Linked DNA regions of Canis lupus familiaris. The protein of the gene in region 1 purifies or fractionates together with the protein of each later gene. This does not show direct contact. Links are inferred from orthologs where the notes say so. Each region holds a gene or a part of one and is shown in the gene's direction. Other genes may lie near its edges.

Region 1 (4,094 bases):
AAGCAGAGGGAGAAGTAGGCTCCATGCAGGGAGCCCGATGTGGGACTCCAAGATCAGGCCCTGGGCCACAGGCAGGCGCTAAACCGCTGAGCCACCCAGGGATCCCCACACCACCCAGATTTTTAACAGCCTTAGTGAGATATAATTCACATACCATATAATTTACCCATGTATTTATTTATTGTAAAGATTTTATTTATTTATTCATGAAAGACAGACAGGCAGAGACCTAGGCAGAAGGAGAAGCAGGCTGCCTGCAGGGAGCCCAGTGCAGGACTCAATCCCAGGACCCCAGGATCAGGACTTGAGCCAAAGGCAGATGCTCAACCACTGAGCCACCCAGCCACCCTACAATTTACCCATTTAAAATGTATAGTTCAGCAGCTTTTAGTATGTTCACAATTGTACACTAACACCTCCAGGACATCTTTATCCTCCTGAGAGGGAAACCCTGTAGCTCTTGGCCATCATCCCCCAGTCCTCTCAGACCCCGTGGCCCTAGGTCACCACCAATGTACTTCCAGTCTATGAATTCACTTATCCTGCATGTTTCATATAAGTGAAATCATGCCATATGTGATCTTAAGTGTCTGGCTTCTTTCACTTTGTATGTTTTCAAGGTTCATCCACACTACAGCATATGTTGGAACTTTCTTTTTATGGCTGAACAATATTCCAAGTGTTTACATACCACGTTTGGTTTATCCATTCATTCATTGATGGATATTTTGGGTTTTCCCACCTTCTGGCTCTTGTGAATAATGCCACTGTGAACACTTGGGGATTCTCGAACTGTCCTGGGGGTACTTACTCATCTCTCTCCCCTATATGAGAAGAGATGGTGGCTGGCTCCTTTTTTCAGAGAGCTGAGAACACCAGAGGGCTCAGTACCTGCTTGTTATATCAGCTCAACACTTCAGTACATCATTCATCCAAACCCTAACATTGAACCCCAAGTGAACAAGCAAGGTGTGGGCTGTGCCCTTCGTGGGACTCACATCCACCAGAGCCGATAATATTGAGCTGATAGTCTCCCTTCTAAATGTGAGATTACACAGGGAGATTGGGCTCCCAAGGGAGACCTTTTGTTCTGTCCAGACCTCCAGAGACCCTGGAAGGAGTCAGGCCGGGGCAGTGGTTGGGGGGCCTTCCTTCGTGAGCGTCACTAGATCTGATTCAGTGAGGGAAGTGAGGAGAGCAGGCTGGACTCTGGGACATGGGTGTGCAAGGGCCTAGTGACAGATTCAGGCAATGTGGTACAAGGGGGCTGGGCAATCAGGGACCAGTTTGCTGCTCTGCATTGGGTGTTTGTCCTTCCAGTCATGGGAGTGGGGAGAGCTGCTTCCTTCAGAAATAATTTCTGGGCTCCAAATAATGTGCTAGGCCCTGGGGACAGTGCTGTGAACGAGACAGACACGGTCCTTGTCTTTCTGGGACACTGTTGACTGGGGTCAACCAACCAGCGTTAGTGGTGACAAGTAAGAAGGGTGGGAGTGACAGTTGTTTGGGTTATTGGCCTGCCTGTGGGGAATAAGAATGGAAAGGACTGCCTCTAGGGATGTGGGCAGGAGGGACAGAGGAGTTGGTGAAAACTGGGATCATAAGGGCTTTTCTGATATGTCTTCCTCTATCCCCAGACGGCCACAACCAAGGTCCCAGAGATCCGAGATGTGACAAGAATTGAGCGTATTGGTGAGTGAGCAGGGTCTAGAGCCTGCCTGCACCCCACAGAGCCAACCAGCCCAGGGGCCATCGCATCCCCCTCTCTGATGGGGGGAGATAGGGCTGAGTGCCAGAGTGGGCTCAGATGGCACATGGAGGACCTTGCTAGGCTGCAACCTGAGATGCAACCCAGGCCGCACTTCTGCTGGCTTGGCTACCCCAGTTAGGCTCCTGGGTGTCCTAGCATTTTGCTTGGAAATCATAAAAGTGTCTGCTTGCTGAGTGCCTACTGGGCTTGGCCTAGAACTGAATGTCCCATGCCCTCAGCGCACACTGGCATTAGCTCCATGAGGGCAGGGACCAGGTCTGGCCTGTTTCTGGCTGTGTCCCTAGCAGGGGCCCCAGCAGAGCAGGCGCTCAACAGATAACCAGCAAATGCATGAGTTCATGTCCTGCCAGGTTCTCACAGCCATCCCAGCAGATGTGCATTGTGACTGCTCTCCTGTATTTTATTTAATGGAGGAAACTTTGACTCAGAGCAGTCAAACCACTGGTCCTGGCTCAATGTGCAGAGTAGGCCATAAATCTAGGAGTACGAAGTTGGGGTGTAGTAGGCCAACAGAGTGCAGCCTCCGCAAAGAGCTTTACCTGCATGGAAAAGGAAACTATACTCCTTTGTGCACATTTGTTCACTCTGCCTATAAGGGAGGCCCAGAAGTAAAGAGGCTAGCAACGTGGGTTCTGGAGGCCCGGTGCTGGGGACCACTTTTGCTGCAAGAGGCTAGTTGCTCTCTGCCCTGGAGTCCTTATCTACAAAATGGAGCAAAGGTGTTCACCTCATCAGTATTGATACAAGATTCCATCAGGTCATCGATAAAAAACCCTCAGCATGCAAGGGCCAACACGGTTTCAGCTATCAAAAGACCCAGTAGACACCAGCTACTCCCAGTACCAGCCCTCAGGATGCTTAAAATCTAGTGCTGGGGTCAGCGAATCTTTTCTCAAAGGGCCAGACAGTAAATCTCTTCTGTAGAAAAATCATCAGTTCTCCCATTGCAGTGTGAAAGCAGCCACAGGCAGTAAGTAAGTTAGGGGGTGTGGCTGTGTTCCAATAAAGCTTTATTTACAAAAACAAGCGACTGAGCCATAGGCTATCATTTGCCCAGCCCTAGTCCATTGTGAAACATTGAAATCCCACGTCTTTACCTCTTGCTGGGCTGTGTGGTCTTGGGCAAGGGGCCTGACCTCTCTGGTCTCCCTTCTCGAATTTGTGTTGATGAGGGCCTGAGGAGTTTTTTGAACCCCAGAAGCACTCCTGGGTGGTAATAGCTGGGACTCCTGTTTCTCAGGGTCACGTGGCACAAAATAAGAATCTGTGGGGCCACTTAGGCTATAAACATAAAGTGTTTGTGATTGTTAGTGGTCACGGTTAGATCCTGATCTGATGTGGTTAACCAGATCTGGGTGATTCTGGTTCCCTCTGCTGTATCCTAAGGGCAGCTCCAGCTTATTGAGCATTTACCCCCACTAGCTATTCTCCCAGTAACGTAGAGACATGGACCCACCCCCCCTCATTTGACCAAGGAGGAAGCCAGGGCTGAGAGAAGCTGCCCCTTTCCTCAGGCCACACATTATCACGAGCTGGCTGGTAAACGTGTCTTCTGGTTCTTCCTCCTCCACCCCCTCTCCCCCGTCCCCCCACAGGTGCGCACTCCCACATCCGGGGACTGGGACTGGATGATGCCTTGGAGCCACGGCAGGTAGAACTGAGGGCAGTGGGCTGGGAAGGCTGATCCATGGATGTACAGGGTTCCCAGGGTCCCTGGGCATGTTAGGATCTCCCAGACCTTTGGCTACATATCTATAAAATTTAGCCACATGTAGAGTTTTATTAGTCCTAAAAATTTGGGGTGGAAAAGGCTTTTTTTGCTTTTCCCAGGCCCTAACCAGCATCGTGCCCTTTCGTCTCACTGGTCTGGAGGTGGTAGAAATGGGGGTGGCAGTCCAGTAGGAAGTCACATGGTGTGCTCTCACCTCCCACTCTACAGGCTTCCCAGGGCATGGTGGGGCAGCTGGCAGCCCGGCGGGCAGCTGGTGTTGTGCTGGAGATGATCCGGGAAGGGAAGATCGCTGGGCGGGCTGTGCTCATCGCTGGCCAGCCGGGCACTGGGAAGACGGCTATCGCCATGGGTAAGAGGCCTCTCAGGGCAGGAGCTCTTCTGGTCCCTGCCAGTTAATCCTTTCTGTGTAAATCAAGGTTGGGTTCGGCCACATTCAACAGACAGCCCAAAATGGCAGAGACTTAAATGCTCTGCTTCATTCTGTCACATAGAAGAATCTGAACATAAGCCACTTAGGGCTTGTTGAGCTGTTCCATCAAGTATTCACCTTTCTACCTCAATATCCTCTGTACTTTTTTTTTTTTTTTAATT
Region 2 (4,802 bases), on another chromosome or scaffold:
GGCGAACACAAACCCTAACTGTGCAAACAGGCACACACTCTAATGCACCGGAGCGGGAGCGGCGAGGCGGGGGTGAATTCGGGAAACCACAAGGTTAACATTTCACGGAGGAGACAAGCCTCAGCCCCCAAGGTCCGCACTGCTCCAGGCGCCCTCGGTGAACCGAAACGCCGTGCTCCGAGTGGAGGCGAGCACGGAGCTCGGGGTCACCCGGCCGCACACAGCATCCCCGCCTCCGCGCAGCAGCGCCCGGCGGGGTCCCCGGAGCCAGGTCAGCAGGCTGCCTGCCCCGCCGCCCTCCACGCCGCTCGGAGCCGGCGGGGCACGGCCGGTGCAGGGGGCCGACTCCGGAGGTCAGCGCCGGGCGCCGCCGGCCACGGAACATCGGGGCCGCGACCCCTGCCCCGCCAGGACCTGGACGCTCAGGCGGCGCCTCCCGCACGACTGCCGGGCCCCGCGGTCCCCGAGCTGCACGCAGCCTCCCGGGCCGGCGAGGGCGGAGGCGGACTGGCCCCCCACGCCCGAGGCTCTAGCTGACCTGGAGAGGTGCTTCAGGATCTGTTTCTTGATGAGCCCGGCCATGGTGCCGGGCCAGGAGGCGGCGCGCTCCCTCCGCGTTTCTCACTGCCTCCTCTCTTCGTGGTCCGGACTAGCCCGGCGAAGGGTCGCGTGAGTGCTCACGCCCGGGAGAGACCGAAGGCCCCGGCCGAGGCCACAGCCGCCGCCGCCGCTGCCGCCGAGGACCCGGAGCATCGCTCTCAGGCCTCCGTGGCCGCCGCCGGCGCCATCTTGGCTGCAGCATCACCTAAGAGACCTGGGGGAGGGCGGGGCGGCGCGGACGGGGCGCGGGGCGGGGCGACGCGGGGGAGGCGTGCACGCGGGGACGCGCGGGGGGCGGGGCGACGCAGACTGCGGGCGGGGGGAGCCGCGGGGCGGGCCGCGCGGGGGGGGGCTCGGGGGGGATGCACGCGGGGAGCGCGGGCGGGGGCGCGGGGGGGGGCGGCGGAGCCCTGCGCGCCCCCCAACGCGCCCCGCGCTGACCGCCCCGCCCCGCGCTGCATGAGTGTCTTTTGCTGCCGCGCCGCTCCGGATCCCAGAACCTTCCTGGGCTTCACATGCTCCGTCTGTGCTCTGGCCTGGTTCCTGCCTCCATTACGGAGTGCTCCTTCCACATCCTACTTGTTTTTTTCATTTTTCACAATTTGCTCCACAAACTACCCTGCTCGCTTTGCTCTCTACCTGCTGTACTCCGCTTTCTTCATACGCCTGCCTCAGTTTCTTCTTTGCTAAGATATACTGCTCCTCCCCCTCCCCCCCCCCCCACACACACGCCCATGCTGTAATTTAATGTTTCCTCTGGTGATTCCAATCCTGAGGGAAGTAAAAGTTGACAACGTGTCTTAAGAGTCTAGGACCTGGGAATTAGAAGACAGAAATTCAAGTCCTGGCTCTGTGGTTCTAGCTGTGTTAACCCGAAGAAAATAATTTCCTTACTTTTAACCTTAATTAGAGACAAAATACGTTAATCGTGTATTCTATAACCGTCTCGCTAGGTTGTGGCTACGGAAATAAGAATGCAAAATTTCACATGAAAATTTCAATGAAAAGGAAGGAAATGATTGAAATAGAACTATTACAGCTCTCCACCTCACCCAGCCCCAAAGCAACATTTTCAAAGAGTCAAAATAACCACCCAGCGATGTCTCAAGGAGGAAAGGTATTAACACTACCTCTGAGGGATGGATCAGGAAGGATCTGGTTAAGGGTGGGGGAGAGAAGGTAGTTCACACATAGTCCAACAAGCTGCCCTTTTTGAAGAAAGGAAAGGAGATAATGCTTGACTCCTCACCATTCCTCATGCAATGCGAGCTAGGCCTTATTCTGGGGTTGCCTAGCCAAAAACAAACAAATCTGTTCTGTCATCAAAGAGTTAACAGACTAGGTAGGTAAATAGACTCTCAAGACCTTGAGGTAAGTCCTTCGACTTACCTCAAGGTCCAATGCTACCTGGGCCTTTGTGTCGCTATGTAAACTTGGGCAAGTGATTTAATGTGTCAGCCTCAAATTCCTCATCTATGCAAGATAATATTAAGTTTCTAACTCAGAATTTATGAGATCTAAATGAGATTATGCATATAAAGTTTTCAACAAAGTGCTCAGTACTAAGCAAACTCTTTAATAAATGCTATTAAATTAGCATTATTGAAAACAGATGCAAAGTGTTATGAGCCCACGAAGAAGGAGTGATTTGTTCTACCTTAGGTCAAAGGCAGATTTACAGTAGAGATGTTATTTCAAAGATGAGACTGAATTAGCTTAATGCATTGACCTTGAAATTCAAGATTTGGATGTAAAACGTAGCTCTGCAGATTTTTTAACAATGGAATCGTAGGAACAGTATGGAACCTCTCAGGCTCCATGATGGTTGTTGTGAGGATTAACCAAGCTAATGAAGGTTAAGTAAGTACTAGACTACTTGAAAGAGTGCCAGACACAATATGATGGAATTAATTCACTAGCAGGAAGAGTATGTTCCAGGCAGGTGGAAGTGTCAAAGCTCATGGCTTATAAATGGCAAGTGGCCTAATGTCGTGGCTAGAACAAAACACAGATTCCTTTTCCAAGTTGTAAGTATTAAAGAATCTCACAGCTTAATAACTATAGTTGTAGTATAGTTTAAAAAAATTCAACTAAGCAAATCGAGAATTTGTCTTTATTAAGCAATTCATTAATTGGGATCATCCCACATAGCAAGTAGAGGGAACTCCCAAGGAAGGAATTGTACAAAATGGAAAGTATTTATAGGAAGGAATTTACAGGGGATCCCTGGGTGGCTCAGCGGTTTGGCGCCTGCCTTTGGCCCAGGGCGCGATCCTGGAGATTCGGATCGAGTCCCACATCGGGCTCCCGGCATGGAGCCTGCTTCTCCCTCTGCCTGTGTATCTGCCTCTCTCTCTCTCTCTCTCTGTGTCTATCATAAATAAATAAATAAATAAATAAATAAATAAGTAAATAAAAAGAAGGAATTTACAGGACGTTATTGCAAGAAAAGAAAGAAAGACAAAAGACTGTTTCAGGCAAGGTCACCTTCATTTAGGGGGAAAGGCCAAGAGCCCTATTAGGTGGATTACCTTATTTTCCTTTGGGAGGGATGTTGGGATGAGGAGGGACCATGTGACAGATTACCTAATTGATGCAGACCAGAAAATTCCAGGCTAATTGGCTTAAAATTCCACACCTAAAGAGGTTGAAGCTGTACTTAGGTCTTGGTTTGCTGTGGGCAACTGACTCTGCCTTAAGCTTGTGTTTTTTAATGAGTTTTTACTGATTTGTACCAATATCTTTTTATTGAGAAATACATTTGCAATTTTTCTGTCCCTGGATTGAGGGAACATATGTCAAAACCACTATAAGGGACCCCTGGGTGGCTCGGCGGTTTAGCGCCACCTTCGGCTCAGGGCGTGATCCTGGGGTTCTGATGGAATCCCATGTCAGGCTCCCTGCATGGAGCCTGCTTCTCCCTCTGCCTGTGTCTCTGCTTCTCTCTCTGTGTGTCTCACATGAATAAATAAATAAAATCTTTAAAAAAATAACACTATAAATTCAGTGGTTTAAATAAATTCACATCTTTTTTTTTTAAGATGTTATTTGTTTATTTGAGAGAGAAAACATGCAGGGCAAAGGCAGAGGGACCAGCAAATTCCTCCACTGAGCAGGGAGCTCAACATGGGGCTCAATCTCAGGATCCCGAGATCATGACCTGGGCCCAAGTCAGATGTTTAACTGAGCCACCCAACACCCCTTTACATTTTTCTTAATTGCTTTTTAATTATCAAAGTATAATTTTTAAAAGTTAAAAAACATGACTGTCATACAGATGTATAATGGATATGCACCAAAGATTTATCAACTCATATTAATGTAAAAGCCAATAAAATAGGAGTTAGAGCTAGTTCACTCATTAATAGGACTTAAAACTGTTGCACATGTTTATTATATACTTGTAACAGAGTCATATTTTTAATTCTTTTAAAATTATATAAGCAGGAGTCAAGGGTCCCTGGAAAAAGACACCACTTCCTTCACATAAGAAAGGTCATTTTAGGAGGCACCTGGGTGGCTCTGTTGGTTAAGTGTCTGATATGATCCCAGCTCAGATCTTGATCACAGAGTCTTGAGTTCAAGCTCTGCAGTGGCCTCCACCTACTTCCATTTTTGTACAATTTCTCTACTTAGAATTCCCCTTAGTTGGCTAGATTGGATACTGCCTGGTTCATGAATCTTTCAGTAAAGCCAATTAAATTTACTCAGTTGAATTGTATTTTAACAAAAGTAATATATGCTTGAGATTACTTGAGCTAAAATCTGGTAGGGGAGAGAGCATGGTATGAAGTGACTAGACTCAGAATTTTTACTGAACAGTCTTGTGCTGAAAGTGGGCTCCTACAGGGTCATGAGAACCAATTACATGCATTTCTTCCCAGCTCTGTGTTCAGGGTTTGGTGACTTCAGGATAGCTGGAAATCAACCATGGTGACAGTATCTATAACACAGACCATGGTAAACCCTACAGATCAGGGCTTTTTTTCCCCCTGGAGATCTGGTTGTTGACCATTTACCAGCACACGCTGTAAGATGGGTTGAAGGGGGGATGAAATTGCAAATGTATGGGCACTATTTCTTCCTAGGCAGTGTCAAGTCATAGAAGGAAGGACTTGTGTGGTGAGGAATACATTTACAGACGGTGATCAGATTTCTGATTTAGAAAAATACTTGCTGATGATTATGCTAGTGGCACAGAA
Region 3 (4,094 bases), on another chromosome or scaffold:
TTTCATTAGCAGCCCAGAGGTTGTATTTATTTCGTAGCAAAATTTTTAATTGTTTTATACTCTGTGCAGTCATTAAAAATTACATAAGATGCCATATATGTGTATATGTATACATTACATATTCAGATAATCTTGCATCTAAGTCTAGGCTTATCTTTAAGGAAAGAACAGTGTTCTGAAACCAGTTTTGTTATGCAGGACAGGTATGAGGGTTCCTGATTTTTTTTTTTTAATCTCATTATTGTTCCATAATTACTGTTAATTTAAATGTCATATAATTTAGTTTTTAATGCAGATGTTTAGAATTGGGTTTCTTGATACTCTGAGTCCTTGCTGGATAGATTTATACCCATGAAAGGACTTTGCCATCCAGGAACATGGTCCAGTTTCATTAAGTATTTCAAATATAATATTACAAAAGTATAGATTGCAAAGACAAATCTCCATAACCTTGTTTCTTAAAAACTTTTTTTTTTTTTAATCCATAGTGTGTTATCCAGGATTTTCAAGCTTCAGTACTTCAAGTATCAGATTCAACTTATGATGAACAGTATGTTTTCTTATCTATAAGATTTATAATAGCTCATTAAAACCTTCATACTAATCTTCTCAACACTGAATACTTCATAAATGAGGAGAGAAATATGATTTATTTAGTTAAAGAATTGCAGAATACGCTTAACTGGTCTAAAGGTAAAAAATTATGTTAAGAAATATTGAATAACAAAAGATATTCTGCTTTCTTATAAGTTGATAATTTCTTAGTTTATAATTTCGAATAGGATTCTGTCTTTTGTTTAATGTTTACTATGTTTTCAGAGTAGCTGCACAGATGCCAACTGTTCATTATGAATTCCCTAATGGATACAACTGTGACTTTGGAGCAGAGCGGTTAAAGATTCCTGAAGGATTATTTGACCCTTCCAATGTAAAGGTATGAAAGCTTGATTCATAATTTGCATGGCTTGTCCTGTATATGTGAAGATCTTGTGTAATTATAAAACCTAAATAAGACTGCCTAGATATTCTTGGGTATGTTGTTTGAAGTTCTTCTGTTGACTACTCATTTTTATTTTGTTGTAGGGGTTATCAGGAAATACAATGCTGGGAGTCAGTCACGTTGTCACTACAAGTGTTGGAATGTGCGATATTGATATCAGACCAGTAAGTGTCAGCCTCCTGCTTATGGTATAAAGGTATTTTTTAGGGTAAGAGAGTGCTCCCAGATCAATATTTAATTAAGTTGGCAACTTTGACCCTTGACTTTGAAATCTATTTTAGAGTATGTAAAATCATGAAGTACTAGAAAAGGAAAAATCCAGAAATCTAGAGCTATGGTGTCCAATGTGGAAGCTACCAGCCACATGTGACAATTTAAAATAAGTAAAAATTTAAAATTCTGTTCTTCAGCTGCACTAGCCACATTGTAAATGCAGCTAATGGCTACTGTAGGACAGTGCAGATAGGGAACATTTCTGTCATCACAGAAAGTTTTTTTTGGATAGTGCTCTTCTAGAGATTTCCTAAAATGTGACAAACCAAAATAAATATTATTGGTGACTTTTGTTGTATATAGTTTTGCTACTTTTATTGTTCAGAAAGGTGTGGGTTTAAATTACGTTATAACTTTTACATGGAGCTTAGAGGATCAACCTTCATATTTTTTGTGCTTTGCCAAGTTTTAAATGCTAGCTCCATATTATATACATAGTATTTATTAGATCGATTATATCTTATTTAAACCCTAGATTCAATTTGTAGCCAACATACTGCCTTAAAAAATTGAGTTAATTCATTTGCTTAGAGCATAGTACTAATAGCTAGGGATGTATTAAAAAACACTTTCAAGGGATCCCTGGGTGGCGCAGCGGTTTGGCGCCTGCCTTTGGCCCAGGGCCCGATCCTGGAGACCCGGGATCGAATCCCATGTCGGGCTCCCGGTGCATGGAGCCTGCTTCTCTCTCTGCCTATGTCTCTGCCTCTCTCTCACTCTCTCTCTCTGTGTAACTATCATAAATTAAATAAATAAATAAATAAATAAAATTAAAAAAAAAAAAACACTTTCAAAAAAGACTTTTGGGTGGCAATAAAAAATGTTCTATATTTCAGCTAGCACCTAGCAAACACATGGTGCTTCTAAGACAATAGGGATGTGCACACAGATTTTTAACACACACTCAAGGCCACTTTGGGGGAAGGCAATTAAATTGAATTATACTTACTATAAGAGTGTGATAACTTTGTTTTTAGTGAGATTTCTCCCTTAATTAACAAATACTGATTGCAGAGGACGTGCTTCTATATTCCATTTTCTCTTTTAAAAGTTAGAGGATTTAGATATTTGGAATAAATTTTTAAAATATGAACTTAGCCATTAGAAAGCATACAGGTTGACATGTATATTAACTAACAGAATTAAAAAAAAAACTTTAAAAAGCAGGCTGACATTTAGCTTTCTGATATGATACATACATGCAAATTAGAGGTTGTAAGTAGGAACTGCTTGTAAGTAGGGACTCAGTTTTTTGGGGTGGATTTTGAAAAAAAGTCCCTATGTGGTTCTGATGTATACCCCTGCAAAAGAGAAAGGTAACAGTCATTTTGGTCAGGGATCTTATTAGATTATGCACTGTCATAATCATTAAATAATCTTCACTGTCTAATTTTGAATACTTCTAGATGAGCATTCCAAGGTGAAGGTATAAAACATACCTCTACTAAATATTGGCAGCTATCTGCCAAAAAATTATGATTGGGTTTTAGTTTTAGAATAATTGCTTTAAATTAGTGGTTCTTAAGCCTTAATCCACATTAAATCATCTGGAGGGTTTTTTTTTTTTTTTTTTTAAGATTTATTTATTGATTTTAAAGAGAGGGGAGAGCACACACGCAAGTGGAGGCAGGGGCAGAGAGAATCTTTAAGCAGACTCCCTGCTGAGCACAGAGCCCCAAGGCGGGGCTTCATCCCATGAGCCTTGTGATCATGATGGGAGTTAAAACTGCATTGAATGCTCAACCGACTGGGCCACTCAGGCGCCCCAGAATCATTGGAGTTTAAAACTAACAAAACCTTTGCCTGGCTCCACCCCTGGAATTTTATTTAATAGCCCCCAGGCATTGATGTCCTATAAATTCCCTAAATGAGTTGAATGTGCAGTGAGGATTGGGAACCACTGGATCAAGCTACTAGATCTGTATAGAAGAAAATTAAAAAAGGGAAAATTGTAGAGGAGGATATACTATTAGTTGTAGTTGTATTTAAAACTGTTGGAAACATTTGGAACTAATATATTTTTGTTTTTTATCCTAGGGTCTCTATGGCAGTGTTATAGTGGCAGGAGGAAACACGCTAATACAGAGTTTTACTGACAGGTTGAATAGAGAGCTCTCTCAGAAAACTCCCCCAGTAAGTTTTGTTTGTTCTTTAGTGGTATTCTTCAGTCGTATGTGTCATCACTGGTAGAATCTTATAGATTAAGGTTTGTTTTTCAGTAGTAGATTGATACTTTGTGTGTGCCTAACATAGTATTACCTAAATAAATTGGATTGTGGATTAAATTGTATATAGATGACATCTTTTCATAGAGGACTTTTGTACTATTTGGATCTTTTATTCATTGATTCCATATTTAAGTACCTTTAGTCTGCTAGGCACTAGGAATATAAAATATAGTCCCTGCCCACAAAGGGCTCAGTCTGCTAGGATGAATGGACGTGCATAAAGTTTAACATACTAAGTGGTGTTAGTATGTCATGAACCACTCCAGGGAACACTGTAGATCAAGCACTTAACTCCCTCATGAAGAAGCTGTATGAATGAATAGTTCAACTGGTTGGTAATTTATGAAAGGCTATCTAGGTGGAGGGAATATCCTGTGCAAACCAAGAAGGGAAGATGGCATATTCCAGTATTTCAGCGTAGTTGGCTTATAGTCTGTGCAGAAGTGGGAAGGGTGATATGGCTGGAAAGATAGATGGTGTATTAATTTCCTAGGGCTGCCGTAACAAAGTATCACAGACTAAACTGGGTGGCGTAAAACAACAGGAATTTGTTTTCTCTGTTCTGAAAGCCAGAAGTCTCTCTCTGAAACATA
Region 4 (4,094 bases), on another chromosome or scaffold:
TAAAAATAACTATTTTTTATAGAAAATGTTATTTCCTCAATTCAAGAACCAATTAAAGTTTACAAATTGTGTTTGCTTGTTATGGCTCAGTAGTGTCTTTTAACCTGTCACATTCCTTTGTCCTTTTATCTCCTTGAAACATTGACCTGTGAAAGGCCTAAGCCAATTTGTCTTGTAAAATGTCCTATGTTTTGGATTTGTCTGATTATATTCTCCCACTAAAACTTTCCTTTTTACTGATTTCAGACAACCTGTATCCAAAAGGATGGAGTTGGGAGAAGGAAGACTTCTCAGGACAGGGATGAATGCATTGTACCAGGCAGTACACCCAGTTCATGGCCTGGTCTGGACTGACGGGAATCAGGTAGTCCTAACTGATTTACAGCTTCACAGTGGAGAGGCCAGGTTTGGGGACTCCAAGGTCATCGGACAGTTTGAACATGTATATGGGGTGTCCTGGGCCCCGCCTGGTGTAGCTGACATGGCTGCTCTGCTCGCTGTCCAGCACAAGAATCATGTCATTGTGTGGCAGCTGTGTCCCAGCACTACGGAGACGATCAAATGGGTGATGTCTTGGATCTGTGAGATTAGACAGTCACTCCCTGTCCTTCCCCAGGGCTGTGTGTGGCATCCAAAGAGTGCTGTCCTGGCTGTGTTGACTGCACAGGATGTGTCAGTCTTCCCAAGTGTTCACTGTGACTGCTCCAGGGTGAAAGTGGACATTGACACCCAGGGCCTCATTCACTGTGCCTGTTGGACCCAGGATGGCCGGAGGCTGGTGGTGGCATCTGGTAGCAGCCTGCATTCCTATATTTGGGACAGTGCTCAGAAGACTCTCCACAGGTGCTCCTTCCATCCGGTGTTTGATGTGGACAGCCATGTGCGCTCCCTTAGTGCCACTGTGAACTCACAGGTTGCTATAGCCACTGAGCTTCCACTAGATAAGATTTGTGGCTTAAATGCATCCGAAACCTTTGCCATTCCACCTGGTGGTGAAGACACTCATTTGTGTACTTCACCAATTACTGAGGAAGTACCCATTGGGGATGAGGGAGCAGTTGCTTCTGAAACAAATTTTGAAACATCAGTGTCTCCTGTTTCTTCCTCTTCAGATCCTCTGGATCTAACTCATATACATTTCAATACAGCTACGTCTGAGAGTAGTTCTCTTATTTGCCTAAGAAAAAAGGACTTCTTGACAGGAACTGGCCTGGATTCTTCACATTTGGTCCTTGTGACCTTTGAGAAAGAGGTCACCCAGACCAAAAAAGTCACCATTCCCGGCATTCTGGCTCCTGATCTAATAGCTTTTAATCTTAAAGCACAGGTGGTGGCGGTGGCTTCCAATACTTACAATATAATTTTTATCTATTCTGTCATTCCATCGTTCACACCAAACATCCAGCAAATTCAATTAGAGAGAAATGAAAAGCCAAAAGGTTTATGTTTCCTGACAGATAAGTTATTATTAATTTTGGTAGGAAGACAAAAATCCACTGATTCAGCATTTCTTCCTTCTTCAAAGACTGATCAGTATACCATTCATTTGATTGTTAGAGAAGTAACATTGGAAGAAGAACTTCCAGTCACATCGAGTGAAAACCGGAGTGGATACTCTACTTTCAGCACTCTGTTAAATAAAACAGACAGAAAAAAACTAATTGAAAGTCTTTCCCCAGATTTTTGTTACCAAAACAGAGGGCTCTTAACAGCTAAAGGCAGCAGGCAAAGTGGAAAGCCTGAAAGAACCCTTATTAAAGAAATCAAAAGTCCTCCAACCAGTGTCTGTGATGGCTTCATCACTCTTAAAACTCTAGATGCTGAGCCTGTTAACGGCTCAGTATCACTGCCCAGATCCAGGAGCACACCCAACCACACCCTAAGTCCAGAACCTCCTAATTTGCTTCCAAGAAAGAACTTACCAAGGGAAAAGGAAATTTACCAGCTGTCTAAGGAAATGGAAATTTTATCTAGGACCCTGACTGAAGTACAGCGATGTCTTTCTGAACTCACAGATGCTCTACATCGTGAGAAGTCCTCTCCTGTGTATCCGCCCTCTCAGGATCTGCCCTATGTGCACATCACTTATCAGGTAACTTCTTTGAGGAGCTACCACTGTACGTAAAAGTTCCTGCAGCCAGTGGGTACTGGTAAGAAAAATTCATTGATGAGGAAGATGGTGTTCTAGCTGAACTTCACTGAACTGGGCATGGTACATTACAGGCAAGTTGTTATACCTCTCTGGGTTGGTTGGCTGCCAACCAGATGGGCACACATGCCAGCATACACTGTGATTATATCACATGCGTGGTATAAAATATGAATGAGTGTACTCATCCTGGCAATTTATATTTAGAAAAAAAAGAATTTTCCTTATGTGGTATTTCACTGTGGGAAACTTTTCCTTATGCAGAGAGAAAGGTTAGGTTGATTTTAAAAAGTTTAATGCATCTGCAAACATACAGTATTACACAAATGGGATTATATCTTATCTGTTTTTATCATAAACATTTTTTCTTTCCCATTGAACTTGGCCCTGCCCCCCACCATAATCCGCTTTAACCCACGGCTTAATGTGGCTCCCTCCACTATTTTAGGTCATACTCATATAATCTTACACACTTCTTTATATACATAGGTCTATAGATGTGGGAGAGGTTGTCATTGTTGTACAAAACAGGGTCCTAGGGTACATTCTTGGTGCTGAGAGTGCACTGTTGATGTAGCTGGTCCCGTGTTGGTGGATATTCACATTGCCTTTGGCTTCTTCACTTTTGTGTCTTCAGTCACTCCAAGTCGTGCTGTAGTAGTACTCTTCTGTGTATCTATTTGTACTCCTACTTTTATTTCTGTTGGGTTGGTTCCCAGAAGTGGAAGTGCTAATTTGAAGAGTATATATATGTTTCTACTTTTAACAGAGCTACCAGATTGCCTCTCAGAGATTTTGTACTTAATGTATCCTCACATACCCATCCTCAACCTATGGGACTGTCCTTTCCCTCAAATCCTCATCAGTCTGATAAGTGTGAAGTGCTTTTCACTTTTATTCCTTTTTTTTTAATTTTTTTTTTTTAATTTTTATTTATTTATGATAGTCACAGAGAGAGAGAGAGAGAGAGGCAGAGACACAGGCAGAGGGAGAAGCAGGCTCCATGCACCAGGAGCCCGATGTGGGATTCGATCCCGGATCTCCAGGATCGCGCCCTGGGCCAAAGGCAGGCGCCAAACCGCTGCGCCACCCAGGGATCCCTCACTTTTATTCCTTTGTATTTCCTTTACTATTAGTGAATTTGAGTATGTCTTCATGGTGTTTGGCTAATTAAGGATTAATTGCCTATTGCTCATTTTTTTCCTATTGAGCTATCAGTTTATAAGAGGTTTTTTGTATATTATAGAAATTAATGTACATGTAATAGTCTAGATTCTCTTACTATTTTATTATATTAGTTTTTACATTGAAGTTTTTAATCTTTCATTAAATTTTGGTGTATGGCCCACTTTTATTTTCTGAGAGATAACCAGTTGTGCTGGCAGCATTATTAAAAGTCCATCTTTGGGACACCTGGCTGGCTCAGTATATGGAATACGCAGCCGTTGATCTCAGGATCTTGAGTTCAAGCCCTACATTGGGCATAGAGCTTACTTTCTTTCTTTTTATTTTTTTAAGATTTTATTTATTCATGAGAGACAGAGAATGAGAGGCAGAGACATAGTCAGAGGGAGAAGCAGGCTCCCCGCACAAGGAGCCTGATACGGTTTGTGATTCCAGATTCCAGGATCGAGTCCCACATCGGGCTCCCTGCGAGGAGCCTGCTTCTCCCTCTGCCTATGTCTCTGCCTCTCTCTCTCTCTGTGTCTCTCATGAATAAATAAATCTTTAAAAAAATAAAATAAAATAAATTCATCTTTAATCCCACTGAACTTGATCTACCACCACATTTGTCATCTATAAATTTATATACTGGGATCTAATTCTCTGGGTTCTCCATACTCTAACTACTATAATGCTGACCTCTTGTCTAGAATTTTACCAATATCACACTCATTTGATAACTGTGGACTTCTATATCTTCATTTTAAGATATTTGTAGAAA
Region 5 (4,094 bases), on another chromosome or scaffold:
CCTGCTTCTCCCTCTGCCTGTGTCTCTGCCTCTCTCTCTATCTCTCTATGTCTGTCATGAATAAATAAATAAATAAATATTTAAAAGATATTTTATTTATTTGAGAGATTTTATTTTTTTATTCATGAGTGCACATGAATGGGGGTGGAAGGGAGCAGAGGGAGAGGGAGAAGCAGACTCCTTGCTGAGCAGGGAGCTTAATGTAGGGCTTGATCCCAGAACCCTGAGATTATGACCTGAGCTGAAGACAGATGTTCAACCCACTGAGGCACCCAGGCTCCCCTTCTTTTGTAATTTTTACCCCAGGATAAAAAAGACCCAAGCTTTTAAAGGTATTTTTAGGATTATATAGCACTGATATGGCAGATTGAATGATTGGTCATCACAAATTCCTATCTCATTTTAGAAAGTAATGAAACATACTTCATTTTGATACTTCATTTTTATGTAAAGTGTACCTTACCCAAAAACTGATTTGTGCCTCAGCTTTGGTTTCCATGTATTAATTGTTAGGAACAGAAAGCATATATAATAGTAATAATAAAAGCAAAAGCAGATGTGAATTAAGAGGAAGAATTAGGGAGACAGGGATAGGAGAACATGAATATAGTCTGAGTCATGGCATGAGGGAAAACTGAAGAAAGGAAGAGTGTGTGTCCCTGAATCATGCCCCTTGCCTCTCTTAGGGCTCTTATCCTCTCTCCCTTAAAGTCCCCTACAATGAGGTGTTTATTCCTTGTTTGTCACAGTGTACTGCATGGCTGAAAGGTAGAGCTGTGTATGGTGGCAACTTAGAAATAGGCGATTTTATTGAATTAGATTTGTGGGAAAGGTGAGAGATTTTCTCATGATCTGGAACACTTAATTACTGTAATTAACAATTATAGTCCTCTGTAATTGCACAGGGCACAGAAATTCAGTAAGTCATTGATGTGAAAGTCTTTTTCCACCCACATGAGATTGGGAATGAATTGATACTACTTTGAGGTGATAGAAGAGTATATTGAGTTTTTTTCCTTTTTAGTTCCATATGATTTAGTCTGTAAACTGTCCTTATGTAAATAGGGTCTTCCTCAGGAACTGGAAAAGTTGGAACAGCTCTGACAAAGTACTATGATGATATATATTTTGATTCTGATTCTGAAGATGAAGACAAAACAGGTTAGTAGCATGTTTACCAGGTTTAGTGGTTACATTTTATAGAAAAAAGGTTTACCTAACAATTTTTGGACATTAGGGTTTCCCTCTGAGTTTTATCTTTTAGAAATTGTAGGCCATTGATGTGAAAACAAAAGCAGGAATGATGAATAAGAACAGATAGGAATGCACATATGAGGACGTGGGACCAGCCATGGTGCTGCATGGGCATACGACAAGGAGAGTGTGTCCTGACTCAGTCCTGACTTCCTTAGGGCTCTTGGCCCCCCCTTCCTTAAGGTTCCTTAGTGCAATAATATTTGCTTTCACACCTGTGAATAGTTCCTATAGTTTTACAGAAAATATACAAACATATATATTTTATATTTTTCTAACTCATTGCTTTTTTATTGGCTTCTCTATTCTCTGGAATTGATTTTGTATAAAATCTGAGCAAAAGTGAACATAAGAGTTAAAATTAACTTAATATCATAATTACACTGGAATGCACAAATGACACATTTATATGGTAAAGAAAAAATTTTATATATACATATTTTAAAGATTTATTTGTTTATTTTAGAGAAAGTTCACATGTATGGGGTGGGGAGGAGCAAAGGAGGGGGAGAGAGAAAGAGACAGAGATATGGAGAGTTTCAAGCGGACTCTCTACAGAGTGGGGCTCAGTCCCACAACCTTGAGATCATGACCTGAGCCAAAACCTGAGTGCTCAACTGACTGTGCCACCCAGGTACAGGTACCCCAGGTACCCCAAGAAACAATTTTATATTTTTATATATTATTACTTAAATATTAACCTATATAAGTACATTTTAAAGTCTAGTGCATGTGGATAACCAGTGTTTTTTCACTTTTTAAAAAAGATTTTATTTATTTATTTTGAGAGCGATCACATGTGCATGTGCCTGCTTACGTGAGTCGGGGGAGTGGCAGAAGGAGAGGGAGACAGAACCTCAAGCACTCACCCTGAGTTCAGAGCCTGACATGGGGCTCGATCTCATGACCCTGAGATCATGACCCAAGCTAAAATCATGAGTTGAATACTCAAGTGACTGAGCCACCCTGGTGCCTTTGTTTTTTCATTTTTGAAATATTTTTGTTCTGATTTCAGTAGCATTTTATATATAGGAACTTGTTGACAATTATAACATCAAAACGTTTCTGATCTTGGTTCACTTTGAGTGGCTTTTCTGAGACCAAATTCTCATTATGTGAGTTCAGTTCTTGAGATAGCACTATGTTTTTATTTTTTATTTTATTTTTTATTTTTTTTAAGAATTTATTTATTTATCCATGAGAGACACAGAGAGATGCAGAGAGAGGCAGAGACACAGGCAGAGGGAGAAGCAGGCTCCATGCAGGGAGCCCGACGTGGGACTCAATCCCGGGTCTCCAGGATCACGCCCTGGGCTGAAGGCAGCGCTAAACCGCTGAGCCACCCAGGATGCCCAGCACTATGTTTTTAGTGAAGAAACAATTTTTTCATCTTCTGTTATCTTTGATTTTTTTTTTTTAAGATTTTAATTATTTATTTGACAGAGACAGCACAAGCAAGGAGAGCAGCAGAGGGGGAGGGAGAAGCAGGCCCCCTGCTAAGCAGGGAGCCCAATGTGGGGCTCGATCTCAGGACCCTGGGATCATGACCTGATCTGAAGGCAGATGCTTAACTGACTGAGCCACTCAGGTGCCCTGTCATCTTCATTTTAATGCCTTGTTAATTGGCCAAGAGGTTTATTTGGAGGAAGAGTTAAGAATTTTTTTAAGGAAAATATAAATAGAAAAAAAAATGTAGCTGAAGATTCTGTGTTCTGTATTAAAGAGGTATGTACTTGAGACATGATACCTAGCCATATCCTTAACGTTTTCAAAATTAGCACAGGTAACCAAGAAGAAAAAGAAAAAACGACACAGGATTCCAACAAATGATGAGTTATTATATGATCCTGAAAAAGATAACAGAGATCAGGCCTGGGTTGATGCACAAAGAAGAGGGTAAGAACTTAACTTAAATATTTAGAATCTTTAGAGAAAAATAATTAAAAGAGGATTTTCACTACATTCACATTTTAATGTATGTATATGTTCACATAGACATAAAGAATTTTGGAAAAAAAAAAACCTGCTGAATTGTTTGTTTTGAAATTTACCAACACATTTCAGTCATGATTATTTTATTTTATTTTTAATTTAAAAAAAGATTTAATTAGAGTGAGAATGAGCATGGTGAGGAGGAGGAGAGAGTCCTATGTGGACTCTGTTCTGTGCATGGAGCCCGACATGGGGTTTGATCCCACAACCCTGAGACCACAACCTGAGCTGAAACCAAGAGACAGATGCTTAACTGACTGCCATTGAGGTGCCTGTCAGATGATTTATTTACTTATTTTTTTTTTTTTTTTTTTTTTTTAAAGCTTTTATTTTTTTTTAATTTTTTTATTTATTTATGATAGTTACACAGAGAGAGAGAGAGAGGCGCAGAGACACAGGCAGAGGGAGAAGCAGGCTCCATGCACCGGGAGCCCGATGTGGGATTCGATCCCGGGTCTCCAGGATCGCGCCCTGGGCCAAAGGCAGGCGCCAAACCGCTGCGCCACCCAGGGATCCCTATTTACTTATTTTAAAGATTTTATTTACTCATGAGAGAGAGGCAGAGACACAGGCAGAGGGAGAAGCAGGCTCCTTGCAGGGAGCCCCATGTGGGAGTTGATCTTGGGCCTCCAGGATCACGCCCTGCACCGAAGGCAGCACTAAACTGCTGAGCCACCCAGCCTGCCCCAGATGGTTTATTTTTAAAACACTTGTTGAATTCAAAATGCTGTAGTCAGTCTCTCCAAGAAACAAAGTTGACTTTTCTCAAATAGACATAATTTTAAATAATTTGATTTTTTTAAAGGTTTTGTTTATTTGAGAGAGAGAGTATGTGCACACAGGAGAGT
Region 6 (4,819 bases), on another chromosome or scaffold:
TGTTTCATATTTGCATGGTTTATCTTTTCCATCACTTGACCTTTAACCACAGGGAGCCTGATGTGGGGCGTGATTCCAGTCCCAGGAGCCACTGAGCCACTCAGGCATCCCTGAATTAATTGATTATACTTTACAGCTCAGTTTCTATCTCCACTATTGGCTGATCAGCTATTCCTCTTTTTAATTGTTTTTTTTTTTTCTTTTTGGGGGAGTTGGGCCAGTATTTATAATATACATCTTTAATTTATCACTATTTTAAAATTCTATTAAAATACTTCACATAAAATGTAAGATCTTTACAGATTTATTACCTCCACCTTCTGTGCTATTCTTGTCATATGTATTTTACTTCTACATATGTTATAAACCTATAATACTTTTAAAAATCTAAATGATTGGGACGTCTGGGTGGCTCAGTGGTTGAGTGGTTAAATAATTCATTTATTTATGAATAAATAAAATTGAGATTTTTGAAATAAAAATCTTTTATTTTTAAAAGATTCAAAGTGAGGAAAACGATGTTTTACATTTATTTGCATATTTTATAGAACTGCTTTTCTGGTTAACAACATTATTTCAAGGGGGGGAGACGACAGTCTGCCAGTGCATTTTCTACTCATCTTGGCTAGATATGCATGTCTTAATTTTTGAGTTATTGTTACAAATAGCTCGATTAGGTGTTTTTTTTTTTTTTTAAGATTTTATTTATTTATTCATGAGAGACACCAAGAGAGAGAGGCAGAGACCTAGGTAGAGGGAGAAGCAGGCTCCCTGCGGGGAGCCCGATGTGGGACTGGATTGGAGGACTCCAGGATCAGGACCAGAGCAGAAGGCAGACACTCAACCGCTGAGCCACCCAAGTGTCCCACGTTGATTAGTTTTGTACAACATTGTACCTACAGGGTGCTTCTGATCTAGGCAACAATTTACAACAGAGATTTGAGGACATTTCTGAAGGCTACGATTCTGTTTCACAGGGGTGATCCATCAACCAATGAAACAATTCACAATTACTAATTTGTTCAACTTTTCTCTGTGCATTCATTAGTTAAACATGGATTAATCATTAACAATGTGCCTGACTACAAGGGAGGCGCTGGCATACAAATAAAAAAGGTCCCTTTTTATTCTGAAGAATCTCCAGAGTAGGTTTTAAATAGAAAGAGAATGAAATCAGCTATTAAGACGCATTAATCGGTGTCTTGCTCGCAGTGCCTACTGACATTTCTCCCATAGGTTCTATAACTTGGATGTAATATAACGGTAAGTGGTTATTATAACAATAAGGGAGGGTTGCTTAATGGATGCAGCTTCAGCTTTGCAAGGTGAAAAAATTCTAGAGATCTGGTACCTAACGATGTAAAATAGTCTAACACTTCTGAAATGTACACTTAAAAATGGTTAAGACGGTAAATTTTATGAGTATTCTTTTCACTACAATCCAAGAATAAGAAAATATGAGGAGGAGGCGCAGCCCTAGGGTGCCCTGTTGTCCGGATCCTTTGGCTAAAATTGAGTGTTGGCAGCTCTTCCACCCAGCCGCCGAGCCTCAGAAACTCCGCCATTCATTTTCCCCCAGGGCCCAGGGTGGGGTGGCCTCGGAGATTCGCCAGGTGTCGCTGTGGCCGCGGCCGCCCCCGCCCCGCCCTGGCCCCGCCCCCCACGGCCCTGGCCCCGCCCCCCCCCGCCGCGTCTCGCCCACTCGCGGCCCCGGCCCCGCCCCCGCCCGCCCTCCTTCCGGCATCCGGGCCTGGCGGGGCGGGCTCGCAAGGCCGAGCGAGCGGAATGGAGGTCCGCGGCGAGCCCCAGGCCGGCGCCAGCTGCTCGTCGTCCCCGCGGGGACGCTCGGCGGGCCCGGTGTCCAAGGAGCTGCTGACGGCCGGGAGCGGCGGCCGCAGAGGTGACGGCGGGGGCGGGGCGGGGCGGCGTGGGTGCGCACGTGCGGCCGGGGGGCGTGTGCCGGGCCGCGGGGGGCCGCCGGGGAGGGGGGGCGCGGGGCCCGCGATGCCGGTTCGGTTCCGCGTGGCGGCGGGCGCCCACTCAGCGGGGCGGCGGCGCGGGTCCAGGCGACTGTTGGGGGTGGACCCCGCGCCGGCACCCGCCGTGCCCACGCCAGCGGCCCCAGGGCCTCGTCTCGCTAGTAGAGGGACGCTTGGCTCTAGGAAGTCACCTAGGACTTCAGCCACGTAGTGGAGAGTGCAGAAGCGTGGATTCGAATCCCAGCTCCGTGATTGATGGCTGTGGAACCACAGAGAGCTGTTTGCATTCTCGATGCTCCACTCTCCACATTTGGAAAATAGAGGTAGCTCTACCTGTTGAACGGGTGTTTCGCTTTGTTCGTTTGTTTTGGTGGAGAAGGGGAAGGGGCCTAAGGTCTTGGGCATACCCTCCGTGAATATTAGCTTGAAGAAGACCCAGAGCATCCCGAATGCCAAAGCTTGTGTAGAGCTTGCTGTGACCCAGGATTTAATGAACTCATTTCATCCTCACAAAAAACCCCGTGCAGAAGGTTCCGTTATCTCTGTTTTATAGATGAGGAAACTGAGTCACAGTGCATCATACAGATGAATAACTTGCTGGAGATCATGTGGCTGAAAAGTGACAAAATTGGGATTCGGATCCAGTCAGTCTGATTGGATTCTTTGGGCTCATCCATTTGCTAGACCTAAAGTGGTGGTCAAAGAATATTTGTTAAGCTCTGCTTTGGGGTGAACAGGGCTTTTGTACTTGAGTGAAAAGTTTTTCCAGGTGTTGGAAACAGGGGGATCAAGGCCTAGAGTTTTGGGGCACCTGGGTGGTTCAGTGGTTGGTTGAGTGTCTGCCTTTGGCTCTGGTCGTGCTCCCCGGGTACTGGGCTTCCCGCATGGAGCCTGCTTCTCCCCCTGCCAGTGTCTCTTCCTTTCTCTTTGTATGTGTCATGAATAAATAAATAAAATATTAAAAACAAACAAACAAACCTTGAGTTTTGAAAGACAGATCCTGTCCTCTGAGCTCTGATGGACTGAAGAGTTTGTTAATTTGAGGAGTAGTGAGTGATGCGCCTGAATAGGTGCACAGGGGTCAGGGGTGGGGGATACGGTCAGAAGTTCTCCCAAGGGCTCATTTGTCCGGGTTGGACATCTTTAATGAAGGTCCACTAGCAAGACAGGTGTGCTTTATAAATGAACGAATGCTCCGAGAGGTTAATTTGTCCGGTATAACACAGCCAGTAACCATTTCTGGTTTCACTTAACCATTGTACTCTGTACTGCTTCCTCTGCCCCTTTGTTGAAGAAACTCATTGGTCACTGATGGATTTCTGACCCACAGAGGTGCAGGTTAGTTTGCACATATTCCCCAGCATCGGTGTCACATACAGATGTATGAGCCAGGCCTAAGAAAGAGGAGGGGTGGGGGCAGCCCTAGAGACCCAGGGTCGAGTCCTGCATCGGGCTCCCTGCTTGGAGAGCCTCTTTTTCTAAAAATATGTTGGGGAATGTGGAATGTTCAAGACTTGAGAGCAGTTGTGGCAAGTTTGCGGAAGGGCCCCCATTTCTTGATGCTGCAGTCAATTAATTGTGTGTGTGCTTTCAGGTATATGGGACAGGTTACTTATCCAACCCAAGCCTAACTGCAGAAAAAATGCCACTCTTCAAACAGTTCGGGTAGAGAGGAGTCCCTGTAAGTATATTTTCCTTGCTTTCTTTCTCTTCTCCCCTTCTTTCTCAGGAACCCTCTCTGATGTTAAATTTTGCCCAGTTGAGCAGTAGAGCTCCACAGTGAACCCCAGTCTCGCCAGAGCTGTTCATTGTCCCCCCATGACTGCTCAGGGTCTCAGGAGCTCTGACAGTGTTTTCCATCTGTGGAGTTCCATTTGAGTCTTTTTTTATCTTTTATTTCTTTCCTCGTTGTGATGGCAGTTGTGTGGGGCTTTGTATTACATGACCTTATGTCATTCTCCCAGCAGCCCTCTTTTACAATGAAAGGCCATTTCTTGACCTTCACTACCTTTTTCTTTTCTTCTTCTGTACTCTGGATAGTTCAGTTCTGTATTATGTAGCTGTGTCAGTGGCTTAACAAGTTTTGAGAATTCCTTGTGTGCATAGTTATGTGCTGAGCCTCTTGAGAGCTACAGAAACTAGACATACCTTGTTCATTGATTCCCTGTACTTAGCATAGTATGGTTATCACCCCTGTTTTAACAGATGAGTAAATTGATGTTTTGAATGGTTAGATGAAATTTGCTATTTAGGACACCTGTGGTTGCAAATGACTAAACTCCAGCTCCAAACCTGATACATCTAACTATTAAGCCATACTTTCTCCTTATTCAGTTACTATTGGTCAAAGTGCCAGCCGTCTAGGAATGTACAGTTCTGAGGATATATGAAAGCACAAATAAGCATTAAGAAATATTCACTACCTTGTGTAGTCCTGCTTTAAGGATTCAGAAGAGGATGGAGGTTTTTAAAATGGAAGAAATGTGAAAGATTTTTTTTATTATAACTATTGTTACTATTGAATTTGGGAGTGTTTTACAGTAAATCCTGGATTTTAGAAATTGGAGGGGCACCTGGGTGGCTCAGTGGTTGAGCATCTGCCTTCGGCTCAGGACGTGATCCCGGGGTCCTGGATCAAGTCCCACATCAGGTTCCCTGCATGGAGCCTGCTTCTCCCTCTGCCTGTGTCTCTGCCTCTCTCTCTGTGTCTCTCATGAATAAATAAATAAATAAAATCTTTAAAAATAATTGGATGTTTGGCCAAAGACTGACATAAATATTGATAAAGTATATTTTCTTTCCTTAGTGTTGGACCAAGTGCAGACCTTTCTCCCACAGAT
Region 7 (3,668 bases), on another chromosome or scaffold:
CCAGATCTTTTTTTTTTTTTTAACTTTTATTTATTTATGATAGTCACACAGAGAGAGAGAGAGGCAGAGACCTAGGCAGAGGGAGAAGCAGGCTCCAAGCACCGGGAGCCCAACGTGGGATTCGATCCTGGGTCTCCAGGATCGTGCCCTGGGCCAAAGGCAGGCGCTAAACCGCTGTGCCACCCAGGGATCTCCATCCAGATCTTGATAAATAGATGATCCATGTAGAAATAACGACAAGGTATTATGAAGGTCGAACTTACTGGGATGGGACTGTTGTGCCCAAGATTGTGAATCCGAGAAAACCACCAAGGAGCTGACACGGATGCAAGCACATAAGGGTTTATTAACAAGCTTGAGCTTGGGTCCAAGTATACCTGACACAGTGAAGCAGGGACTTGGACCCTGAGGTGGGTTACAGCTGGGTTTCTATGGGCTGGTCTAGGGGTAAGGGGGGGGGTTTCAGTAAGGGTGGGGGTGTGAGAATCTCCAGTAAAGAGGTCTCACAAGCTCTTGCTTCCTTATTCTTTTTTTTTTTTTTTAATTTTTATGTATTTATGATAGTCATCAGAGAGAGAGAGAGAGAGGCAGAGACACAGGCAGAGCGAGAAGCAGGCCCCATGCACCGGGAGCCCGACGTGGGATTCAATCCCGGGTCTCCAGGATCGCGCCCTGGGCCAAAGGCAGGCGCCAAACCGCTGCGCCACCCAGGGATCCCTTGCTTCCTTATTCTGATAAGGGCATGCTTTGTGGTTTTTTTCTGTAGCTGGGGTAGAGTTCAGTACCTGGTCACAGTGGCCTGAGATGGCTGCCCAAGGTGCAATGGCTGTACTTGTGCCAATGTTAAACTTGAATGGCCCTAATTTTCTCGGCCTCCACAGGACTAGATGTGAGGGACTAAAGAACCAGAGCTCACTTCCCCGGGTGCCATGGATCAAGGCCTCAAACGAAGTTCCATCAGGCGAGGGATCCCATCTCTGCTCCTCGTGTTTTGGCACATAGCATGGATTCGGTACTAAAAGTCGGATGAACCGGGGCAGCCGGGCTGGCTCAGCGGTTTAGCGCCGCCTTCAGCCCAGGGCGTGATCCTGGAGACCCGGGATCTAGTCCCACGTCGGGCTCCCTGCATGGAGCCTGCTTCTCCCCCGCCCCCCCGTATCTGTCTCTCATAAATAAATAAATAAACAAACAAATAAATAAATAACATCTTTAAAAAAAATAAAGGTCGGATGAACCATGGATTTGGAGGGGAAACCAAACAGGAGCTCAGTTACCTGTTCTTTCTTCTCAAGAGGGGAAACACCTCCAAAAACAGAGTCTCGGCCACGTAGTCCATATTCACCCTATTTCTACATCTCGCTTTACTGGTCTCTGTCCCGTAGGAGAACGGCTGCCCCTCAGCTCAACACGCCTCCTTCCCCAGGGCCCTGCGCAATTAGTGGCCCGAGTAGGGCCTCACGAAGATCGACTCCCCAAGGGCGTTTTATAGCGCTCAAAAAGGAGCCACTGGGGGGCGGGCGGGCACCAGCGGAGCTCCGGCTGCGCACCAGCCCCCTCGACCCACGCCGGCGCCGGCTCGAGCGCTACTAGATAGAGGGGTGGGGCTTGGCCACCGAGCAGGGGCGGAAGTTGCCGAGAGTCCTCGGGGGCTTTGACCACGCCCCGTCGGCCTTGCCCGGAGGCGGAAGTAGCCGGTTAGCGCCGGAAGTTGCCCCGCGCGGCCTGAGAGCGTTCGTAAGCGGCGCGGGGCGCCCGTTGCCATGGAGCCGGCCGGGCCGTGCGGTTTTTGCCCGGCCGGGGAGGCCCAGCCCGCGCGCTACACCTGTCCTCGCTGTAATGTGCCCTACTGCTCCCTGCGCTGCTACCGGGCGCATGGCACCTGCGCCGAAGACTTCTACCGGGACCAGGTGCTGGGCGAGCTTCGCGGCCGCAGCGCCTCGCCCAGCCGTCTGGCCAGCGCCCTACGCCGGCTGCGTCGGCAACGCGAGACCGAGGACGACCCCGAGGACGCAGGCCTCAGGCCTGGCCCGGCGCCAGGCGGGCCCTCCAGACTCTGGGAGCTACTGGCCCCGGCAGAGAAGGTGGCCTTCGAGCGGCTGCTGAATCGTGGCGAGGCCGGGCGGCTGCTGCCCCCATGGAGGCCGTGGTGGTGGGGCCGCGGGGCTGGGCCGCGGCTTCTGGAGGAGGTGGGTGATGCTGCGGACCGTGACCCTGCGGAGCTGGAGCCCACCCCCGCGAGGACGCCCCCGGAACCCGTGAAGGAGGCCGCCGCTGAGCCGTTTCTCGAAGACCCTCCCGAGGCCTGCGCGCCCGCCGTGCCCACCCGGATCCCCGTGCTGGCCAGTCTGAGCCGCGGCCGGGCCTCGCCGCTCGTGCGCTTCCAGCTGCCCAACGTGCTGTTCGCCTATGCGCACACTCTCGTCTTGTATCACGGCGGCGACGAAGCACTGCTCTCTGACTTCTGTGCCACACTGCTCGGCGTTTCCGGAGCCCTGGGTGCGCAGCAGGTCTTCGCCTCTGCTGAGGAAGCCCTGCAGGCCGCAGCCCAGGTGCTGGAAGCGGGCGAGCATCCGCCTGGGCCCCTGGGCACACGGGGTGCCATACGCGAAGCCGCCCGCATCCTGATGGGTGAAAGCCCCGCCAACCGGAAAGGCTACACGCTGGCAGCCCTGGGGCACCTGGCACAGACCCTGAGCCAGGCCCGGAAGCAAGCTGTGGCTACGGAAGAGCGAGATCGCCTCTATCGGGCGCGGAAGAAGTGCCAGTTCCTGCTGGCTTGGAGCAATGAAAATGAGGCGGCCCTCACATCCCTGGCTCTAGATTGTGCAAGGGCCCATCGAGCCCATGCTGTGGCGGCCGAGGAGGTGGTAGCCCTCACCGAGGAGTTGGAGCAGCTTTGGGGAGGACCCCTGCCACCTGCTCCAAGAATTCTCATTGAGGAGCTCCCTGGCTGAACTGGGATCTCTTTGTCATTAATAAAGCTGGTCTTCCCTGTCAGCAGTGCCTGTTTCTGAGGAACAGCTCTTGCCCACCCCACCCCCAGACTCTTGGGCCCATAGACCACTTCAGCTTTTCCTGGATCAGAGCTTACCTAGAAAGTTTTAAACGCCCTGGCCCCAGAAAGGGAGGGAAGTGGTACCATGGTTTCTAGATGTTTATCCAAGGAGAAAGAACAGCCCCTCCACTCCATTTTTGGGCACTGGCTTCATTTCTCCTTGCTCCAGAGCACCTCTCCCGGGCTGTTCATCCCTGCTTGTTGGAGCTTGGAGCAGGGTAGGAGTCCAGTCTCCTGGTGCTGAGTGCACATGCCCCAGTCTGGGGTGAGTGGAGCTGCTTCAGTAGATGTAGGGCAGGATTCGGTAAGGCACACGCCGACAGTATTCATGCCAGGCCAGGCCATACTTCTGCAGGCACTGCTGCTCATCCCGAGCCTCACGGTGTACCAGTAGTGCCGTGAAGTAGAGGAGGTAGAAGTAGGGTAGCAGGTGAGACACTCCTGTGGGGAAGTAGAGGCTGTGATCGCTCAGCAGCCCCTCCAGTTCACAAAGACTTCCACATCTAATGGCTCATAGGACATTGGGGCTGTGGTGAAAGGTCCAGCTCTGCAGCAAGGTGCTGGCACAGCTACGCAGTCCATTCCCAGCCTCCTGACTGCTCCCTCTACTAGG

Evidence for each region.
Region 2: the proteins of RUVBL2 (region 1) and ACTR6 purify together in Homo sapiens (co-immunoprecipitation; 7 studies listed by BioGRID and IntAct, counting the BioPlex papers as one, with this or other methods). This does not show direct contact. The link is inferred for Canis lupus familiaris from reciprocal best matches to the Homo sapiens genes RUVBL2 and ACTR6.
Region 3: the proteins of RUVBL2 (region 1) and ACTL6A purify together in Homo sapiens (affinity purification with mass spectrometry; 11 studies listed by BioGRID and IntAct, with this or other methods). This does not show direct contact. The link is inferred for Canis lupus familiaris from reciprocal best matches to the Homo sapiens genes RUVBL2 and ACTL6A.
Region 4: the proteins of RUVBL2 (region 1) and WDCP purify together in Homo sapiens (affinity purification with mass spectrometry; 6 studies listed by BioGRID and IntAct, counting the BioPlex papers as one, with this or other methods). This does not show direct contact. The link is inferred for Canis lupus familiaris from reciprocal best matches to the Homo sapiens genes RUVBL2 and WDCP.
Region 5: the proteins of RUVBL2 (region 1) and E2F-associated phosphoprotein purify together in Homo sapiens (affinity purification with mass spectrometry; 3 studies listed by BioGRID and IntAct, with this or other methods). This does not show direct contact. The link is inferred for Canis lupus familiaris from reciprocal best matches to the Homo sapiens genes RUVBL2 and EAPP.
Region 6: the proteins of RUVBL2 (region 1) and C10H12orf45 purify together in Homo sapiens (affinity purification with mass spectrometry; 4 studies listed by BioGRID and IntAct, with this or other methods). This does not show direct contact. The link is inferred for Canis lupus familiaris from reciprocal best matches to the Homo sapiens genes RUVBL2 and NOPCHAP1.
Region 7: the proteins of RUVBL2 (region 1) and ZNHIT2 purify together in Homo sapiens (affinity purification with mass spectrometry; 5 studies listed by BioGRID and IntAct, counting the BioPlex papers as one, with this or other methods). This does not show direct contact. The link is inferred for Canis lupus familiaris from reciprocal best matches to the Homo sapiens genes RUVBL2 and ZNHIT2.

The regions. Positions count from the first base shown.
Region 1 is NC_049222.1:108,068,376-108,072,469, reverse strand, and holds part of RUVBL2 (ruvB-like 2), read left to right. Parts: intron 1-1,637; coding exon 1,638-1,692; intron 1,693-3,366; coding exon 3,367-3,422; intron 3,423-3,710; coding exon 3,711-3,852; intron 3,853-4,094. UniProt on the Homo sapiens protein: Possesses single-stranded DNA-stimulated ATPase and ATP-dependent DNA helicase (5' to 3') activity; hexamerization is thought to be critical for ATP hydrolysis and adjacent subunits in the ring-like structure contribute to the ATPase activity.
Region 2 is NC_049236.1:39,612,506-39,617,307, forward strand, and holds the start of ACTR6 (actin-related protein 6), read left to right. Parts: upstream 1-1,548; 5' UTR 1,549-1,717; intron 1,718-4,802. Other genes in the region: UHRF1BP1L (UHRF1-binding protein 1-like), read right to left, coding at 539-582. UniProt on the Homo sapiens protein: Required for formation and/or maintenance of proper nucleolar structure and function. Plays a dual role in the regulation of ribosomal DNA (rDNA) transcription.
Region 3 is NC_049255.1:13,152,968-13,157,061, forward strand, and holds part of ACTL6A (actin-like protein 6A), read left to right. Parts: intron 1-488; coding exon 489-550; intron 551-819; coding exon 820-934; intron 935-1,083; coding exon 1,084-1,164; intron 1,165-3,310; coding exon 3,311-3,406; intron 3,407-4,094.
Region 4 is NC_049238.1:18,578,215-18,582,308, reverse strand, and holds part of WDCP (WD repeat and coiled-coil-containing protein), read left to right. Parts: intron 1-246; coding exon 247-2,092; intron 2,093-4,094.
Region 5 is NC_049229.1:13,550,975-13,555,068, reverse strand, and holds part of E2F-associated phosphoprotein, read left to right. Parts: intron 1-1,065; coding exon 1,066-1,161; intron 1,162-3,032; coding exon 3,033-3,150; intron 3,151-4,094. UniProt on the Homo sapiens protein: May play an important role in the fine-tuning of both major E2F1 activities, the regulation of the cell-cycle and the induction of apoptosis. Promotes S-phase entry, and inhibits p14(ARP) expression.
Region 6 is NC_049231.1:34,429,124-34,433,942, reverse strand, and holds the start of C10H12orf45 (uncharacterized protein C12orf45 homolog), read left to right. Parts: upstream 1-1,742; 5' UTR 1,743-1,785; coding exon 1,786-1,900; intron 1,901-2,063; exon of another isoform or gene 2,064-2,271; coding exon of another isoform or gene 2,272-2,302; intron 2,303-3,573; coding exon 3,574-3,660; intron 3,661-4,785; coding exon 4,786-4,819. UniProt on the Homo sapiens protein: Client-loading PAQosome/R2TP complex cofactor that selects NOP58 to promote box C/D small nucleolar ribonucleoprotein (snoRNP) assembly. Acts as a bridge between NOP58 and the R2TP complex via RUVBL1:RUVBL2.
Region 7 is NC_049239.1:52,582,136-52,585,803, forward strand, and holds ZNHIT2 (zinc finger HIT domain-containing protein 2), read left to right. Parts: upstream 1-1,694; 5' UTR 1,695-1,760; coding exon 1,761-2,954; 3' UTR 2,955-2,997; downstream 2,998-3,668. Other genes in the region: delta(14)-sterol reductase TM7SF2, read right to left, coding at 3,336-3,496. UniProt on the Homo sapiens protein: May act as a bridging factor mediating the interaction between the R2TP/Prefoldin-like (R2TP/PFDL) complex and U5 small nuclear ribonucleoprotein (U5 snRNP).